Linked DNA regions of Drosophila melanogaster. The protein of the gene in region 1 interacts with the protein of each later gene in a pairwise test. Each region holds a gene or a part of one and is shown on either strand. Other genes may lie near its edges.

Region 1 (8,097 bases):
TCAATCTGATATTACATGTTGTTTGTTCGTTACAGTTGATAAATTCGCCTGATGGAGTGATTTTTACTATCTTTACCTACAGAACATACATTAAACTATCATGCGATAAACTTTTTATCACATGGTATTGTACATGCGTAATATTTACCCTTCAGAGAATTCGCTTTGTATCATTCACAATAAGTAAATCACAATTGTTACCCACACACAAGAAGTGGTTTCCATTGATTACAGCTCTTCCGTGATATCATTCTCTGAGAAAATTCACAATTTATACTTTGCTGGCAAACCAAGGTCAGGAAAACACTTTTTGAAATGCAGTTAGTGAAATATTAAAGCGAACCTAATACCTTAATGAGCCCATTTATTGGGCACTTAAATTTCTAAACGGATGAAATGTAATGAAGCCATTTCATAGAACAAAAACACCATCAGATAGATTTAAAGAATAAATGCACGCCACACTACAACAACTAATAAATAACTTTATTAATGAAAATCAGTTAACAAAATTAAAAAATGAAAGCACTAGCATATATTCTAATTGCCGTATTGAGCACGGTTTGGAACCGATTCCAAAGTCCAGGTGAATTTATTTGGTGGTAGAAGCCACTGTCGCATTCTGCTGACCACTGCCTGAGGCTTCAGCTGCTCCAGACCTGGAGTTTCCCGCGAGATCCGGAAGTCCGGCGACCTCAGAGAGCGCCTCCTGTTCGCAAAGAGCACGCAACTCGAGCTCCCCAATGAGCTGCATTACCCGGATCTTACCCTCGGTGGCCAGTTTGGGCGGCAAGTTCTTGACGGTGGCACATATGCTGTCGAAGAACAGCTCCAATGAGTCGCGCGGTGGCGTTATAGGTGACAATGGTTGCAGTTGATAAGATTGCAGCGGGCGGGCAGCATAGGAGGGCGTCGTGTGTATAGGCGTTATGGTGGCCTTGGAATTGATCTCCTGAGCTTGGCACATCCCACTGAGTGGAGTACTGTGCACTGGAACTTTTTTAATGGTGATCCTGCATGGCGGAGCTACTGTTGCTGTTGCTGAGGATGTGGGATAGGCGGAGACAGTGGTCGGAAGACTTTGAGGCCCCTCGTTGATGGTCACGTGTAGTGGCAGATAATCCAGCATGCCAGAATTCTGTGAGTCGGTCTCCGAAGTGCGGCGCTGCTGCTTAATGACGGGCTCCGTTTCGAGATCATTTTGTGCTTCCAGTTCTTGAGTCCGCTTCTCATCGTCCTCGCAGTCGCCCTCTGTTTCGTCAAGTTCTCCCTCCTCCTCATCTTCTGTCTCGTCGTCTTGGGGATCTGTTCCGTATTGTAGTAGACCCTCCTCGTCCTCGGTATCCTCCCACTTCATCGCACCGGAGCTGGATCCATTGAAGCTCGAATTGTTTGCCTTGGCTGGCAATGATTTTCTTTGTGCATTTTCCGAGTGCTTAATGCTACCCTCGTGCTTTCCCAGATCAGATCTCTTGCAGCTGAGCCTGCACTCGCACACCGCGCAGAACACGAAGTGCGGATCCGTCTCATCCGGGAGCAACCACGGATATATCGCCTGGTACTCCGGCTTTGTCTTGGGTCGAGGATATTTCAGCAGGGCGCACGGCCGGCGTGGCCTGTATTCGGAGCGTAGGGCATCTCTGGGCGGCGAATATAGTCAGTGAACATAAGACCCTGGTCTCTTACTTTGGTATACTCACAGTTTTTCCTGAGTTAACTGGAGGTTTGACATTTGGGTAGTCTTTTCCAAAATATAAACAAAATCCAGTGAGGTATGACCGTGCGCACATGCATAGAAATACCGCATAACCCGTTTTGCACATGCTGTAAGAGTTGTCACCCACACCGGTTGTTTGTTTCTACACACTTTATTTTAAATATTCAACGATATATGAATCATATGCTAATGCATGTAATTTCTTTATATGCTTTCTAAGCATAATGTTCATGTAGTTATTAAATAAATAATTGCAGTTATACTATGAACAGTACGTTTTAAGACCGTTCTCAATAAAGTGACCAGTCCAGTCCCTCAGTTGCATTTTATGTATTTTTTGAACTTCCTTAGTATATGGTCCTTAGCCCGCCGGTTTAATGCAACAGTACGGTCACATTGGCCATCGCCTTGACAGCGATTCTGAGTTTTCGCTTGCGATTATTTTTATTTTTTTAGTTTATAACCGTATACTGTGATCTCCCAAAAGCTAACAAATATTAGAGCAAAGTGCCTGGATAACCAGTATCTCGTGATGGATCGGGATTCGAGCATGCAGGCGAAAAACCTAGATGCTCAATGCAACCCAGACCTCAAAATGGCGTCTGCAAATTCAGAAACTTTAGCGTCGGCAACGCACGAGCTGAAAATTATGGACGTAGAGGGTGGTGCTCTGGTGGATCCGGATCACATCGAGGAAGTGGAGACCTCCATGGTCATCGTGGTGGATGATGACGATGGGGATGTGGCCATGGTGGTGGAGGAGGACAAGCACCCGATGCGGGATGACCCGTGTATTGAGGACATCATGGATGACGAACATGCTCCATTGGTGGCCGAGCTACAGTCCGCTCTAAATAACCCAGACGACAAACAGGCCAGCGAGGATCCCCTCCTGGAAGACCAGGAACGTGAACCCGATGCCATGTCCACTAAAACTGAACCCTCCAGCGATGCGGAGAGCTCCCATTCGTACCACGATCCCATGGGCCTGCTGGAGAGGATTGAAATCCATGATCCGGGAGACAGCCAGGATGACGACGACGAGGATGACGAAAGCAGCAATGGCGGTGGCGTTGACGGAGGCATGCGCCGCAAGATGCCCCGCGCACAGCGCTGGCTCCTCTGGATGAAGCGTTGGCCCTGGATCCTACACGAGGACTCCGATGGCACCTTAGCGTTCTGCCTTTACTGCAACATATCCATTAACGTGAACAACCGCTCTAGACACATCCAACAGCACAACGTGTCGCTCTCCCACCAGGAACGCGAGTGCAACTATCTGGCATTCAAGAAAAGTGAGGAGGAAACTCGAGGAGCGTAAGTGTCACAGTTTTAAAGATTACAAAAAAGAGTACAGAAATCTAAAATTCGGAGAAATCAAGTTAATTAATCCGCCGTATAAAGTAAAAGCTCAACTCTTCAAATGCCTTTCACTTTGTAAAGGGTTTGTACCGAAATCCAGAAAGCCCACTGTAGTGTGAAAAAAACTGCCAACTTAATGAAGGGAGCACTGCTCCGAGTCCGCATTAATTTTCCAACGTGTAGCAATTGTTTGACACAAAGAAACTGGTGTATGATAGGCTTGGTCGCGGTTCAGAATAGATTTTACATATATTACACTCCCTGCTTTCAATGAGGGTAGCTCTACTCGTAATGTTAGTAAGATTTGCACCTTTAAAAAACGAAATACCGAAATCATATTGAGATCACCGAAAGTTTGCGAACACTTATTAACTCCCAATTATCCGTAGAATCAGCGACAACGAAATCAAGCACGAATTCGGCACCAAGAGCTATGTGGCCGCCATGAAGCAAAAACGAATCTCCGAGACCGAGGCATTTAACAACTTCAACTGGCTGCGTTGGCTCCGTTGGCATCCTTGGCTTGAACGTTCCATGCCCACAGGGACCATCGGGACATGTCGCATCTGCAGCGTGCGAATGAACGTGGAGTTTGTCTATTTGCGCAAGCGCCACGAAACCACCAAAGGTCACATGGAGGCACTGCGCAACCTAGATTCCGATAAGCGGAGTCGGAAGCGAAAGAGGAGCAAGAGCAACAGCGTGACCAATAGCGGCGGGGATGAGGCCGAGCGAGAGAAGGAATCTGAACCAGAAGTTGGGCCGGAGGATGCTCAGGACACCCCTGTGGTTATGATGAACGGCGATGTGGACTCAGGCGACGACCCTGGCAAGTGGTGTGCACTGATTCCGGACACCAATCCACAGCAATGCCGATGTACGCTCTGCAACTGCACAATGGCGATTACCAGCTTCCTACGGCACTGTAAAACCAGAGCTCATTGTCACATGCTATCGACACCCGCTGAAAAGGGGTGAGTTGACACTCCTACAGAACGTAAATAGCACCTGTTCTTTAACTGCTTTCACTTTTTTACCTCAGCTCTTCAGATATTCGCGGCATTTGGGCCGTGTTCGCCGACATGCATCCTTGGTTGATTGCTGATCCCGAAGACCCCAGCATTGGGTACTGCAGCGTCTGTCGCAAGCGATTCATGTATGGAAACTCAGAGATCAAGCGCAAGAATCACGAAAAATCCGAGAAGCATACCTTGGCTTTGGCCAGCGCCAAGGCAGGCATCGAAGTTGGTTCGGCTGACGGCAGAGGCGGCGATAACATGGATGAAGAGGAAGCGGCGGCAAGTGATCAAGCCCAGTCATCGCAGACCGATGACAGCGAAGATAATGACGATGACAATTGGTCCGAGATCCAAAAACTCGGAAAAGGGTATGTTGCTTAAAATATTTTTAATTTTTACTTTAATAATAATAATTTCGTATAGTTTTGCTCATAAGTCCTCTAGCGAGCCAAGAAAGGCCACGGTTCGCGCTGGGGTACGTTTTTACCCGTGGCTTTGCTACTCCAAGGACCGAAAGACTCAGATTTGCAAATTCTGCCGCGTGCGCTTTCACAACGAAGCGGCAAAGGCGCGGCATGAGTTGAGTGCCCGGCATGTAAAGCTGGTAAAGCAGTTCAAAATGCGGCAAGCGAAACTGCACCAGGGCACAAACACGCAAACTAAACATAATGCGCAGGATGATGAAGAATCACAGGAACAGGACGAGGAATATGGAGAAGAAGAGGAGGACGCAGAAGAAGATTCCCAAAGCAACTTCGACTTGGGCACCGTGCAGGCAAGAAAGACTGCTCGAGCGGACAATAAGCTTTTTGTCAAGCCCATTCCGGCAACCATGAAGGGCAAGGTTATGGTGTGGAAGGGCCGCTTCCCGTGGCTCTCCTACAAAAAGAACGAGCAGCGTGGAAACTATGCTTGGTGCAAGCTGTGCGAAGTGTCTCTCTACCTGCCCTCATCCAAGTGGGCCTCCAAGCACCAGAGGACTTCCCGACACATACGCCTCCGCATTGATCGAAAGCGCAATGGTGGCAACCCTTTGAAAACATCGAACAAAAACTCAGGTGAAATATCCACTGTTGTGGCCACAGCTTCGGCTTTGGCCAGCGCCGAGGCTAGACAGAAAGCGGCTATGGCAGAGCTGCAAGCGAAGTACGACTGGCTGGATCCTGATGCCAATGACGAGAATCACTGTCACTGCCGTGTTTGTGATAGCCGGCTGCCGATCAAGGTATTTTACCTGCGGCAACACGACGCTTCGCGTAAGCACGTCGAAAATAAGGAGCGGCAAAGGGCCAATGCCGCCGCTGCCGCCAATGCACCATCAGTTAGTCCCACTTCCACCGTTGATGCGGAAAGGCAGGAGTCTGGAATGGACAAGGAGAGCGAAAACGATATGAGCGTTCGGTGAGTTTAGAATTCGAAATCCCTTCATTAAGCGTTTCTAATAACCACACTCATTATGGCTACTTAGATCCGATGGCAGCACAGCGGAACCGCTGGCGAAGCGGTCCCGACGCTCAATGGAGGTTCGTCGCATAATACGCGCCCTTCGCGACTCAATGGGCAAGCGACAGGAAGAACGCTCCCAAATGGACATGGCCAGGGACATGATATGCTCGTCGTTTGATATTGTTACACGCTTGCGAACTTTGGAACGGGAGTCGGTCGCACATAACGAGTCTATGGCCCAGGCGCCGCCATCGGTGACAGTGTCACCGATTAAGCCACCGGAGCCACGACATGTAATGGATCTCTTCTTTGACAGCATTTCGCCGACCATGAAGTCCCTGCCGCCGGATTTAGCCGCAGAGGGCAAGTCGAAAATCATGCAGCTCGTTTGTAGCTTGGAGCTTCGAGCCATGCAGAGAAATGCGACAACTCCAACCCCAGCTACAGTTTCTGCTTCCTCGAAATGGCCTTCTTCAACTACGGTGACCCCAGTTAAAACTCCTCCTGCTCCTATTTCAGCTCCCCTTGCTTCTGTCGATGCAGATTTGCATTCCTCGGTTGTCACAACACCGCATGAATACAATAATGGGCAGAACAATAATAACGACAAGGAAACCGTACCGAAAGAGCCAGTTACCGGGGCTTCCTCTGCCCAAGTGACCATCAATGGGAGCGCCAAAGACCTGCCAGAGAATATACGCCGTATCTTAACTTCCAACCAAACGCAAGTGACCAACCGCCTCGAGACGGATTCCGTGCGTTGTGTACCTCTTGACAAACTAACAACACAGAGTCGGACCAACGTGAACGGACGACTCAGTCAAGGTGGCACTTCGGAAGCACCATCCACCCCACAGGCGGACCTTAGCAATGGTAACACGTTGGCCATGATCAGGCAGATACGGGTTAACAATAACAACAGTTCCAAGATCACCGTTACTAATACGCCTCAGATGCAACAGCCGCAGCAGGCACAGGCAAGCATAACGTCCTCGACTCCAATAATGCGTGGTGGTCCCAGCAGCAACGGTTGTCAAATCACAACATTTCGGACAATGGTGAACCATAACCGCAGGCCATAGAGCTCCTAGGAAATATGAATCAAACGTAACTTAAGACTTTATCACTGTCATTATTTAAATTCGACTCAATCAGATATACTTTACGTTAATGATGAATACTTGCAAGCAATTGTTCAAAATTTAGAATACACAAACGATGGAGCTTCTTCCAAGATATCACATAGAACACTACTCCTTCAACGAACTACGAACCTGTTGCTTCCGAAACTTGCATGTTTTGAAGACGATTTGTTTCGAAACCATTCCAATACCCGAAAAATTTTTATTTTTCATGGAGAAAATTACAAACTATGGACTTATTCAAGTCCAAAATATAGTAAACTTTATGTCTTTTAATTATAATCCTTACTAATTCCGGTTTATCCACTTTGTGGCTGCTCTGTTTAAGTCTAAATTCAGTTTCAGTCGTTAGGAGTGGACCTTACGATCAACTCGATTCGTTTCGATGCCGTTGCTGAGGCTCCGCAGCTGGCAATCCGTTTTGCACCACCGCGTTTCCAGGTTTCTCATCGCTCGTTATCGTGGACAGCTCGATTTCACGCAGTTCCCCGAGGAGCCGTCGCATCGAGCTGTGCATAAAGGCGTTCTCAGGCATCTGATAGCCACCAGTCGCAGAGAGAGCAGCCGGTGCGTTAGCGGGAGTGGAGGAAGCCGTTGGCTTTGGCGGTTTGCTGACAGTGTTTAGCTGCTTCTGCTCGTTGGCCTCCAGAGCCTGGTCGATGGGCGCCGATCGCTGGTGCAGCGGGAACATGAATTTAACGTCCAGAAAGCTGCATAGCTCTTCAATCCCGTCCAGTGTCCGACCGAGTTCTTCGCTACCATTCGCCTGCTTTCCCACATGATGGCGCACAGTGCTCAGGTAGCTCTGCAACTTGCTTCGCGCTATCTTGATTACAGTTTGGGCATTCTTCAGCTCCAATCGGAGTAGCTCTGGACTCTGCAAGGGCCAATACAAATATTTCTTAGGAACAGGTCTTTGTAATAAAATCATGAAAGTAAATGTTACGTTATAAATTTTAAAGTATTTAAGAATTGACTCACTAAAACCCTACTTAGAAAATATGTACAAAAGATTGGCTTAGATTTAAGTAGTTTTGTTTTGTTATAATTAAATATAATTTAATAAACGGTTAAATATGGTAACAGAAACACGTATACGACATTCATATATTAAAGCACACTCACATTCTCCAAGTATCCATCCATTGCAACTCGATGGGTATCTTGCAATTTGGCCAGAGCAGAAGAATCCGCCGCATTGCGCTCCTGCATGAAGGTGATCTGCCGATCGATCTGGCTACCACTAGTGGCCATCGAAGAGTTTTCTGAATTGGTGCGCGGGCGTTGTCCCGCAGGAGGGGGCACATCCTTGTCCGCGGAACTGTTGGCAAAGGACACACACGTGAAGGCGTTTGGCGGATACTCAAACTGCTTGGGATTGAGCATGAATAGGGCATGTCTCAGCACCAGA
Region 2 (5,406 bases), on another chromosome or scaffold:
TATGTATAGTAACAAATATAACTTCCATATGAGTATTTTTCGTATTACCTTTAGTAGAATAAAGATTATCGTATAATTAAAACGCATTGTTTATAAAAAAAAAACAGTGATCTGCTTCGATCACCGACTTAAACAATTGGATATTGTTAACAAAAAGCAAAAAAAAAAAAAATGCAAAAAAAGAGTTTGATGTTTTCTCCGCACTGTTGCATACTTATTCAGTATTCTGAGAACAGATGTCCTTTTACAAGATTAGTACTCACGGCAAAATAAAAGCTCAAAAACGGTACCTACGGGTACGTACCAAGGTAAATTAGTTGAGTACTTTTTACCTTACCTATGTAAATAAATAAATTAATACATTTTACCCTTCCTAGGCACGGATTTTGATTTTCACCGCGTACTCGTCGTGATTTTAAATTATTGAAATCGTTTCTAGATTTGGATTACTTTTTTATCCCCGTTTACGTATACGTAATATATTTAGATTTCAGGAATCGTAAATTAACAGGTATGAATTGAAATAAAAATAACTTTTACTTACCACCGCTTTATGATTATGTACACTTTTTAGCTTCTTGCTCAAATAAATTATTTAATTATATTTCCTTCCTTTGGCCGATATATTGAGAAATGCTATTTTTAATTTCACTTTTAACTCAGGTATGTATTAATGTACGCCCGAGTGTATAAAAACACAAAATGTAACCGTTTTAATCACCGGCGAAGGTAGAAAACGAAATGGAATTTAAAGCAAACGGGCGGAGAAGTAAAGCAGAACAAAAATGTTCGTTTTCGCCATTTTCTTTTTTTGGTCCACTTTTCAGGTGTATTTCATTTTGAAATTTATAGCAATACATTTTATATATATATTCGCAAAAAGTATTAAGCATACAAAAGTGGTTGTCGGGTTTTAATAAATAAGCAAGCATTATAAATATGAACTCTATATAACCGCGCTCAAATTTAAAACACAAATCAAACCGATATGCTCACTTACGCACACACACATATGTATGTACTTCTCCGCGGAAACGTGTGTGCGTGAACTATATAACCGCGCTCAAATTTAAAAAGCAGATCAAGCCGAGCTGCTTACTTACACACACACACATAAGTATGTACATATGTACTTCTCGGCACAAACGCGTGTGCGTGTAAATCACATAATTAAATCGTTTAAAGAAAAGTAATGAGTTAAAATGCGTTTAGCAGTGTGCGATCACTCATTGATTATCATTTTAACAAACTTTCAGTACTTTTTAATACCGAAAAACATTAAAACTGATTTAATTCATTTTGGCACGCCGAACCGCCATTTTTTCTATTACCGATGCTCGCGAAGGAAGAAAACGAACTGAACGAGGATAGGAGCTTTCAGATCGGACTTGAGCATGAGAGCGGCCAAGAAGAAGAGTGGTCCTAGATTAACAAAATGACCCATTTTCGCTTTAAAAACTATGAATTTCAAAGTCAGCTTTTAAACAAATTTGAAATGTAACGTAATTAATTCAGAGTGACCGCAAAAAACTAAAACACCTTATCGCTATAGCATGCAATCGAAAAGACGACTACTTTGTTAACTCTTAGGTCCATATCGATAGCCAAGCGCATGGACGCGATATATCGATACAATCGGTCAGTGGTTAAGACAGCTCTACTGCATATTATTTTGTTTTCTTTTAACGTTAACATTTCATTTAAATATTATTTTAGTTTGTAACACTCCCGCAAATAACTATAAAGTGAGTGCTAGTGTGGAAAGAGAAACATTTATTATTTTTCCAAAATAATTGCTGAATTTAAAGCGGGTGGGGAAATCGGACAGAGTTGAAACGAGAGAACGCTCTACATTCTCTATTATCAATGCTACCATAGACCATGTACCGGCGCACTTGTTAAAATGACTCTGACTTCACCTTGACTAAAGTACACATAATGTACACACATTGCAGTGGTAGAGATGGCGAATCGGGATGATAACAGTTACTGATTTTATTTTCCAGTTTTCACCCCATATCGCTCTATATACATATATACTCGCCAGATCCTACATAAATCGAAAATGCTTAAGCTACGTAATCTATTGGCCGTCGGCAAAAGCAACAACAACGCTGTCCGGTAAGAAAAACAACATGAATATACTATAAAAAATGAACACAAAAATTGCCCACAGCTGAGTCCATTTACATATTTGATCAGTGTTGCCGAGTAGGCACAGGTACCTGTACCTGGATATCAGCTTGTGGCACTTATTAATTGCCCAGATTCGTGGAATCCAAATGAAATATAGGCAATGAATATATACTCGTATATTCAAATTTTTTAGATTGAAATAACAAAATTAATTCTTAATTCTTACTTATTTATATATAAATAACAGTATTTATAAGGATCTTAAAATAATGATATTTAATGGTATTCATATTCAATTTTCCTCCAGCCTAGGGGTTCATTTTTATTAACATTATGTTTTTCAACTACTAGTCATTTTAAGTCTTTTAGATTAAATATATTATTCACGAATTCCCTAAACTCATGTTATTAAATTTACGCAGAGTAGTTGTTGCTTACTCATTTTCCAAGCCGTCATACTTAGCATTAAGAGTACCTACCAGGTACCGTCCTTGTAGGTACACAAATCGCGTACCCTTTCCAGCACTAGCATTCACACTCCTACACGTTAATATGTATGTTTGGTTCCAATTTCGTACGTATACATCCATACATAAATGAAAATGCCGTTGCGACGTCAGCAAAGCAAAAACGTATACAAAAACAAAATAAACACGACGGTGCGAATTTTAGTTACCCTTCATGTATGAAATGCCGTACTATATATGCATTTTGTATTTTTAAGTTATGAATACATTTGCCCCTGGAAAATTCGAAAAAGTTAATAATACGCAGGGGTAGCTTTTCTTAATTTGTAAGTTCAGTGTAAAGGAAATAGCGTTCTCCTTATTTATCTATTTTTTGCCCACGGTCCAATTCAATTGGCCTACTTATAGCTAATATTGATAAGTGGCCTTCCAAAAATTGAATATTATATCTTCGATCTGAAAGATAGACTTATTAAAAACGTTATCTAGAGAGTTTGGACTTAGAACATATCATTTAAAAATGTATTTTTAGGTATTACCAATATATCTTACCTTATACAGAATACAATTAAGATATTGTAAGTTTATTTTGTAATTGTTTATTATGCCAACCTTTTTAAATTACCCATTATTGATACTTTTAGCTCTCTGTCCACCACTCCGAGCCGCAACGATTCAGAATCATGGTTCTCAAAACTGCTCGTTCGGAAAATAGAACCAACCAAGGAGTCGCACAGTCGAATGCTCAGCGATAAGGAAATCATATATGCCCTTCATACCCACAACGTCAGGCCCGATTCCATGGGCAGCTACTTAAATAACTAGTAAGTGACTGAAATTTAACGTCCTTAAAAGGTGCCTAAAAGAACTAAATAGGTGCAGAGTACTCAAAGCTAAAGAATAAACATTGAAAGCGTTGTCCATTTTCGATAGCATACTTTCAAACACATTTCCGGGTGGTTTTAAATCCCGAAAGTAGCATAGATTGTTAAAAGTACCCTTACCTTTTACAGCAAAACTACTGTCGCTTTGATCAACGAGAAGAAGGCAAACCTTTCCTGCGAATTGGTGGCATCATGGACGGTTCAAGTGGGCGACATGGATCAGTGCCTGCACCTGTGGAAGTACACAGGAGGCTTCGAGAAGATAGATCAGGCCAAAGAAGACCTTTGGAACGATCCCGAGTATCTTAGCTTGATGCAGGAGCGTTCCAAGTTCTTGCGCTCCCGTCATCTGCAATATCTCTTGGCATTCAGCTACTGGCCGCAAATTGCCAGTCGTACCGGCAAGAACATTTACGAAATGCGGTATGTTGCAGAGTATTTTCAATTCAAAAATGCATAGCTAAATTAACCCAATTGTCTCAGCTCATACCGACTGACACCTGGCACCATGATTGAGTGGGGAAACAACTGGGCCCGCGCCATCAACTATCGCAAGCACAACAACGAAGCATTCGCCGGATTCTTCTCGCAGATCGGAAGACTGTACAATGTTCATCACATTTGGTGTAAGTGATAGATAGTATAATTAAAAGATTTGAGTAATTTGAGTTTCATTGCCAAATACGTTTAGAATGGTTTAAAGGATATTTTAAGCCACTAGCAATTTTTGAAGCCATATTTTTATATAAGCTGTAAAGCAAACATTAATATTTGCTCTTCTTTTCAAAATAGGTTACAAATCTCTGCAAGACCGTAAGGAGACCCGGGAAGCAGCCTGGCGATCCCCCGGATGGGATGAGTGTGTGGCCTACACGGTGCCATTAATCCGCGAGATGCACTGCCGTGTCCTGGCGCCCACTGAGTTCTCGCCCTCACAATAATTAGCACTGGGTGTTGCACTTTCTAGCGTTCTGAGAAATTGAAGTTCATCGACGATTGGACAAATTAGCTGTGAAAACACCGAGAACGCATCTTCGCCTATTTTCCTGTTGAATAGTTATTGTAAATAATGCCAGCTACATATGCAATCATTTAATTTTTTTTTTAAGTATAATTAAGGTCAAAGTGGAAATTTCTATCCAACATTTTTACGAACCTCTATGTGTGTATCGCCTACGACCTTTGAATTTAACAAAACCAATTTTGTTTTTATAAAATAAAGCAATTATGAAACTGTTATAAGTTAGTTTTTAAAACAGATCCCAAAATATAGTAAATGGTATTGGATATTAATTGAAACATCTCTAATAAAATGCAGAACCACCCAATTCCGTAATTACAAACAGCAAAATAATAGGTGATGAAAAAGTAGTATACCGCATAAAGTTTTAATCAGATCGTTGTTTTCTTGAAAAAACTTGTTATCCTGTGAATTAGTGGTATAACATAATAATAACGTATGATACATTTGATTTGCCTGCTTAGTTGCTCAAACTTAATTAATGCACATATTCTATGAACTTTTAAAAGTCACAGAAAATTAAACGAAATATTTTGCTATCCCCGCCAGTTTCTTAACTCTTTAAGAGGCATCATATAACATGTGTGCGATATTTCAACATCATCACTAAATTAACTAGAAAAAAAGTTCGAGAAACTTTTTTTTTTAAACCATTGGGTTTTTGGCTCTTAGGAATCTGGAATTGTTATTATGTCATCTTTTTGCCTAATTAATTCAATTCTAAACAAATTTTTAAGAATATTTGTCCAAACAAATTTAAAGTCTTATACACCGTAGGCACTATAACAAAAATATGTAATGAAATCACCTTCTGATTCTCAACTTTAAAACTAAAACCGTTGTTTAGAACCAGCCAATCTCGTTTATACCTAATATTATTGGTTAATTGTTTGTGAAA
Region 3 (3,738 bases), on another chromosome or scaffold:
TTTATATATGCACGTGGCTATATATATTTGCCTGTATGTAGGAATTGAATAAAGTTCGCGTAGCGCCAAACACAGCACGACAAAGATACAGCAGCAAGCCGAAAGCAACAACTACAACACCGGGCAAACAAAAATAGAGGCGTAAAGTCGTTGTTTTTGTAGATGAAATGCTAAAACCTTCGATATCAGCTCTATTAAAGAAATTGATCCTAGAAGCTAGTGACATTGGATCATTAAATTTCGACTTGCTCTGATGGCAATACTTTTTTCAAGATGCTTAGGTCCATTAAAACCGTTGCTTATACACACAAATGTAGATAACAAACATGTTTAGGTGTCGTATTTTTGCAACTTAAAGTATATATGGCCAATTTATCGTCTTTAAAGTTCGGTCTTGTATTTAAGCCAATTTTGGGCTATATGTCTATTATAGCTGTCCCGCTCTAACACGCGCACACACACCAGTTAAGTTCGTTGTAGCAACGGCACATCGGTGTGAGCGTGTATGTATATCAGAACGTGTATTTGTGCGATTTTGCAACGCATTTACATTCTTTTTAGGTTACGTATCGATTTTGATGCAGAGTGAGGTTAGATCGAAAAACATCCAAGTTTTTGCATGCTTTACGAAAGCAAGGACATTTTTGAAATCCCCTCGGCGCCCTCTGCATGTTTCTGGTATCAGACGTTCGATAAAGACTAAACCCCGAAAAACCTAAAACGAGCAGGTTGCAAGCAGAAGCAAAAGCAAAACGGGCGGCGTTTTTATTCACCTATTGTACAATTTTATGTTTTTAGGGTTGCCAGGTATGCATTATGTTTATCATGAATATAATATAAAACCTCGATGTGTCCGATTAGACGCAAATCAAATGTCTTTAAATGTATAATTGAGACCATGATGTCGCGCAGGGTTGCCACCGGCAGGTCATTTTTTGTCCTATTGCAATGGCATTGCGGTATATAGTCTTGCCTACACGTCGGTAGTCTAGTCTAAAATATAGCATAGTAACAAATCCAGATATATATCAGATTTCGCCTGATTTGCAAATCGCGGTCACTTGACAACCCTGAAAACACAAATGTCTTTAAAGAGACTCGTACCATATCTGGCGTATGGTACCCGTACCCAGTCCAAATAAAAAAAAACTTCAAAACCCAGTAAAAAAAATGCAAATCCCAAATGTACCATTCGATTGGACCATTATATTACAGGGTATTTTTATAAAGAAAATTATAAATATAACATAAAATGGATAAAAAAAACTACACTTACCTTTCTACGACACGACAAACTCGTTTATTAACTTATATATTACCGAAAACTATTGAAATATGACTTGTGGTCTAACGGCAACTATCAAATGTCAATGATTTGAATGAATTTAACAGCTTCTCCGTGATTTGTTTACAATTCGCAGGCAACTCCACTTCCGATGCCCTTAAACGACGAAGACTGAAACACAGACTAAAATCGCACAACAACAGAAGGTGCCGAAAAGAACCAGTCTATGCACAACTGGTTCCGAAGAGCAGCGCCCAGATTGCAAGCTAGCGGCACTTGGAATAGAGATTGGCGCGTGATTCCGGATGCCGATTTCTGATACGCATCGAGAAGACATTTTTTATGGACGTTTCTAACAATACTTATTATTTTTGTATTTATTTAGGTTGGATTTTGGCAAAACTTATTTTATCTTATATTCAACTTTGCATTTTTACGCAATTTGTATTATTATTATTATTATTATTATTAACATGATGACCAGATATAACTTAAACTGGTTACCTTCTCATTACGATAGTAATATTATAAAAGGATGTATATTTAATAGCTGAGGAGAAGCAGCATTTCTATAGTATTTATATACAAAAATAAAAAACGTTATGCAGTTCATGCACGTGTACATCCCTAGTTTGGAACCAAACAAAATCATATGTTGTTACTAGGGCTGTATAGCTAAACGTTTTATTTATGGGAGCAGAACTATTAAGTGCCAGTTGGAACTAAGACGTGATCTCCCCTGTCCCTTCTTTTGCTTAAAACTGAATCATATTGACAAATGTTTTCGGCCCGTTTAAGTAATGTGACGTTCTCATGAAATACAACGGTGAACATTGCAAAAATCGTGTTATTTTCGTTAATTGTTCCAATGGGTGAACTAGTGAACGGAGTCAGCATGTGCCAGCCCTGATGGCTGCTTTGTTGAACTAGTTCCAGTTCCGGAGCTAGTGAACCAATAGCAAACGGAACAAAACAAAAACATCTGTAGATTATAGGTTAATTTGTTTTATAATAACAAATGCGGGAATTATTCAATTAAGATGAGCAATCTGCTGAATTTTGCCCTGCGGCAGGGCGTCAACTCCATCAAGCGCCTTAGCCTCCAGAGTTTCAGACTGGCAGCTCCGGCCATTGTAACAAAAACGCCGGTTACTTCCACGATAAAGAGATTCTCCTCCCAAGCCGCCCCCTTCGATGTGAACACCAGTGTCCCCAAGGACATAATACTTTTCAAGTATGAAAACCCCCGATTCTACCAGATGCTTAACTTTTTCGGGGTGTGTCAGTTTGTTTTCTGGACATATCTCTCGCACTTCGCCTTCACGACGCTTAAGGATGCTCCAGTGGTGGAAAAACCCGGAGAGGAGCTGAAGTGGTTCCAGCGCATAAATCTGGGCGATAATAAGTACAGAAATGGCATTACAGCCTGTAGCTTTCTGATAGGTAAGAGTGGTTTACTACGTTCTCGGCAAGCCGAAAATAAAACTCAACCAACATTTTAGGATATGGCATACTGTTTGCTGTCTGGATGTTTACCCTGCGATCGGTGCGTTTTCTTATCTTGAGAAAGGGTGGTCAGAGCGTTTCCTTTGTGACCTACGGTCCCTTCAACCGGAATCGCATTATGACCGTGCCATTAAAGTGCGTCTCCGCCGAGGAATCACGGAACATGGCCAGGGTGCAGCTACCCATTAAGGTGAAGGGCAAGACACTGTATTACGTCCTGGATATGCGTGGCGAGTTTCGGAATGGCGAGTTATTCGATTACACGGCGGGCCTCAAGCGTCGCATTTAAAGGGCAAGTTTTGTTGTTTTGTAGCTTATTATTTGTAAATAAAGATGTACACTAATTAAAACTAAAATGCGGCTTAGTAAATGGGCTCCGGCTTCTGGGTGAGCAGCAGTCCAAAGCGCTTCTTGATGGTCAGCCTCTGGCGGGAGTACTTATCCTCCGGTGAAAAACGTGCTGGATGAGCAGATAGTGTGGGACGACCATCCTCGGTGCGTTTCTAGAAGAGCAACAAGTGGTGACTTAGTTGGGTAATATATATATAGGGTTTTGATAATAATATACCTTCAGGGTGTAAACGCGATCGCCGTTTTCGTTAATTGTGTACATCAGATACATTTTTGCAGTTTTTGGATTGTTTTTCTGTAGTCAAAGAAGCAGAAAATAAAACACGTGTGGCGTGCGTTGCAAGGTGCTACCAGGCTTTAAAAAAAAATAAGCACTAAATAATCCAACTTAAGAGAATAGTCAAGCCTCGAACCGTGGAATAAATGTTAGCTAGATTTTCGTAGCTAGATCGCTTGTTATCGATTCACTTCCATCTCTAAGCATATTTGTATAGAATATTTGGCGGACTTTTGTACACAATGTCAAATAAAGTGGACAAGCTGCACAAGCAGGCTTTACGCGAACAACAGAAGCGTATTAAGCCCGGAGAATGTAT

The links.
Region 2: the proteins of Su(var)3-7 (region 1) and Nipsnap interact in a two-hybrid assay, tested with the Drosophila melanogaster proteins (one large-scale study listed by BioGRID).
Region 3: the proteins of Su(var)3-7 (region 1) and CG12935 interact in a two-hybrid assay, tested with the Drosophila melanogaster proteins (one large-scale study listed by BioGRID).

The regions. Positions count from the first base shown.
Region 1 is NT_033777.3:13,262,267-13,270,363, forward strand, and holds Su(var)3-7 (suppressor of variegation 3-7), read left to right. Parts: upstream 1-2,097; 5' UTR 2,098-2,249; coding exon 2,250-3,034; intron 3,035-3,468; coding exon 3,469-4,053; intron 4,054-4,121; coding exon 4,122-4,466; intron 4,467-4,521; coding exon 4,522-5,499; intron 5,500-5,566; coding exon 5,567-6,626; 3' UTR 6,627-7,053; coding exon of another isoform or gene 7,054-7,563; 3' UTR 7,564-7,772; downstream 7,773-8,097. Other genes in the region: ravus, read right to left, coding at 593-1,640, 1,701-1,732; TBC1D5 (TBC1 domain family member 5), read right to left, coding at 7,054-7,563, 7,812-8,097. UniProt on the Drosophila melanogaster protein: Dose-limiting factor in position-effect variegation, the inactivation in some cells of a gene translocated next to heterochromatin. It could play a role in chromosome condensation.
Region 2 is NC_004354.4:16,069,742-16,075,147, reverse strand, and holds Nipsnap (nipsnap), read left to right. Parts: upstream 1-1,579; 5' UTR 1,580-1,638; exon of another isoform or gene 1,639-1,716; 5' UTR 1,717-1,745; intron 1,746-1,865; exon of another isoform or gene 1,866-2,047; 5' UTR 2,048-2,065; coding exon 2,066-2,121; intron 2,122-3,247; coding exon 3,248-3,427; intron 3,428-3,616; coding exon 3,617-3,910; intron 3,911-3,970; coding exon 3,971-4,113; intron 4,114-4,279; coding exon 4,280-4,428; 3' UTR 4,429-4,783; downstream 4,784-5,406.
Region 3 is NT_033778.4:10,807,464-10,811,201, forward strand, and holds CG12935 (uncharacterized protein), read left to right. Parts: upstream 1-1,933; 5' UTR 1,934-2,325; coding exon 2,326-2,728; intron 2,729-2,787; coding exon 2,788-3,080; 3' UTR 3,081-3,153; downstream 3,154-3,738. Other genes in the region: Nop10 ribonucleoprotein, read right to left, coding at 3,154-3,294, 3,360-3,413; mms4 (methyl methanesulfonate sensitivity 4), read left to right, coding at 3,662-3,738.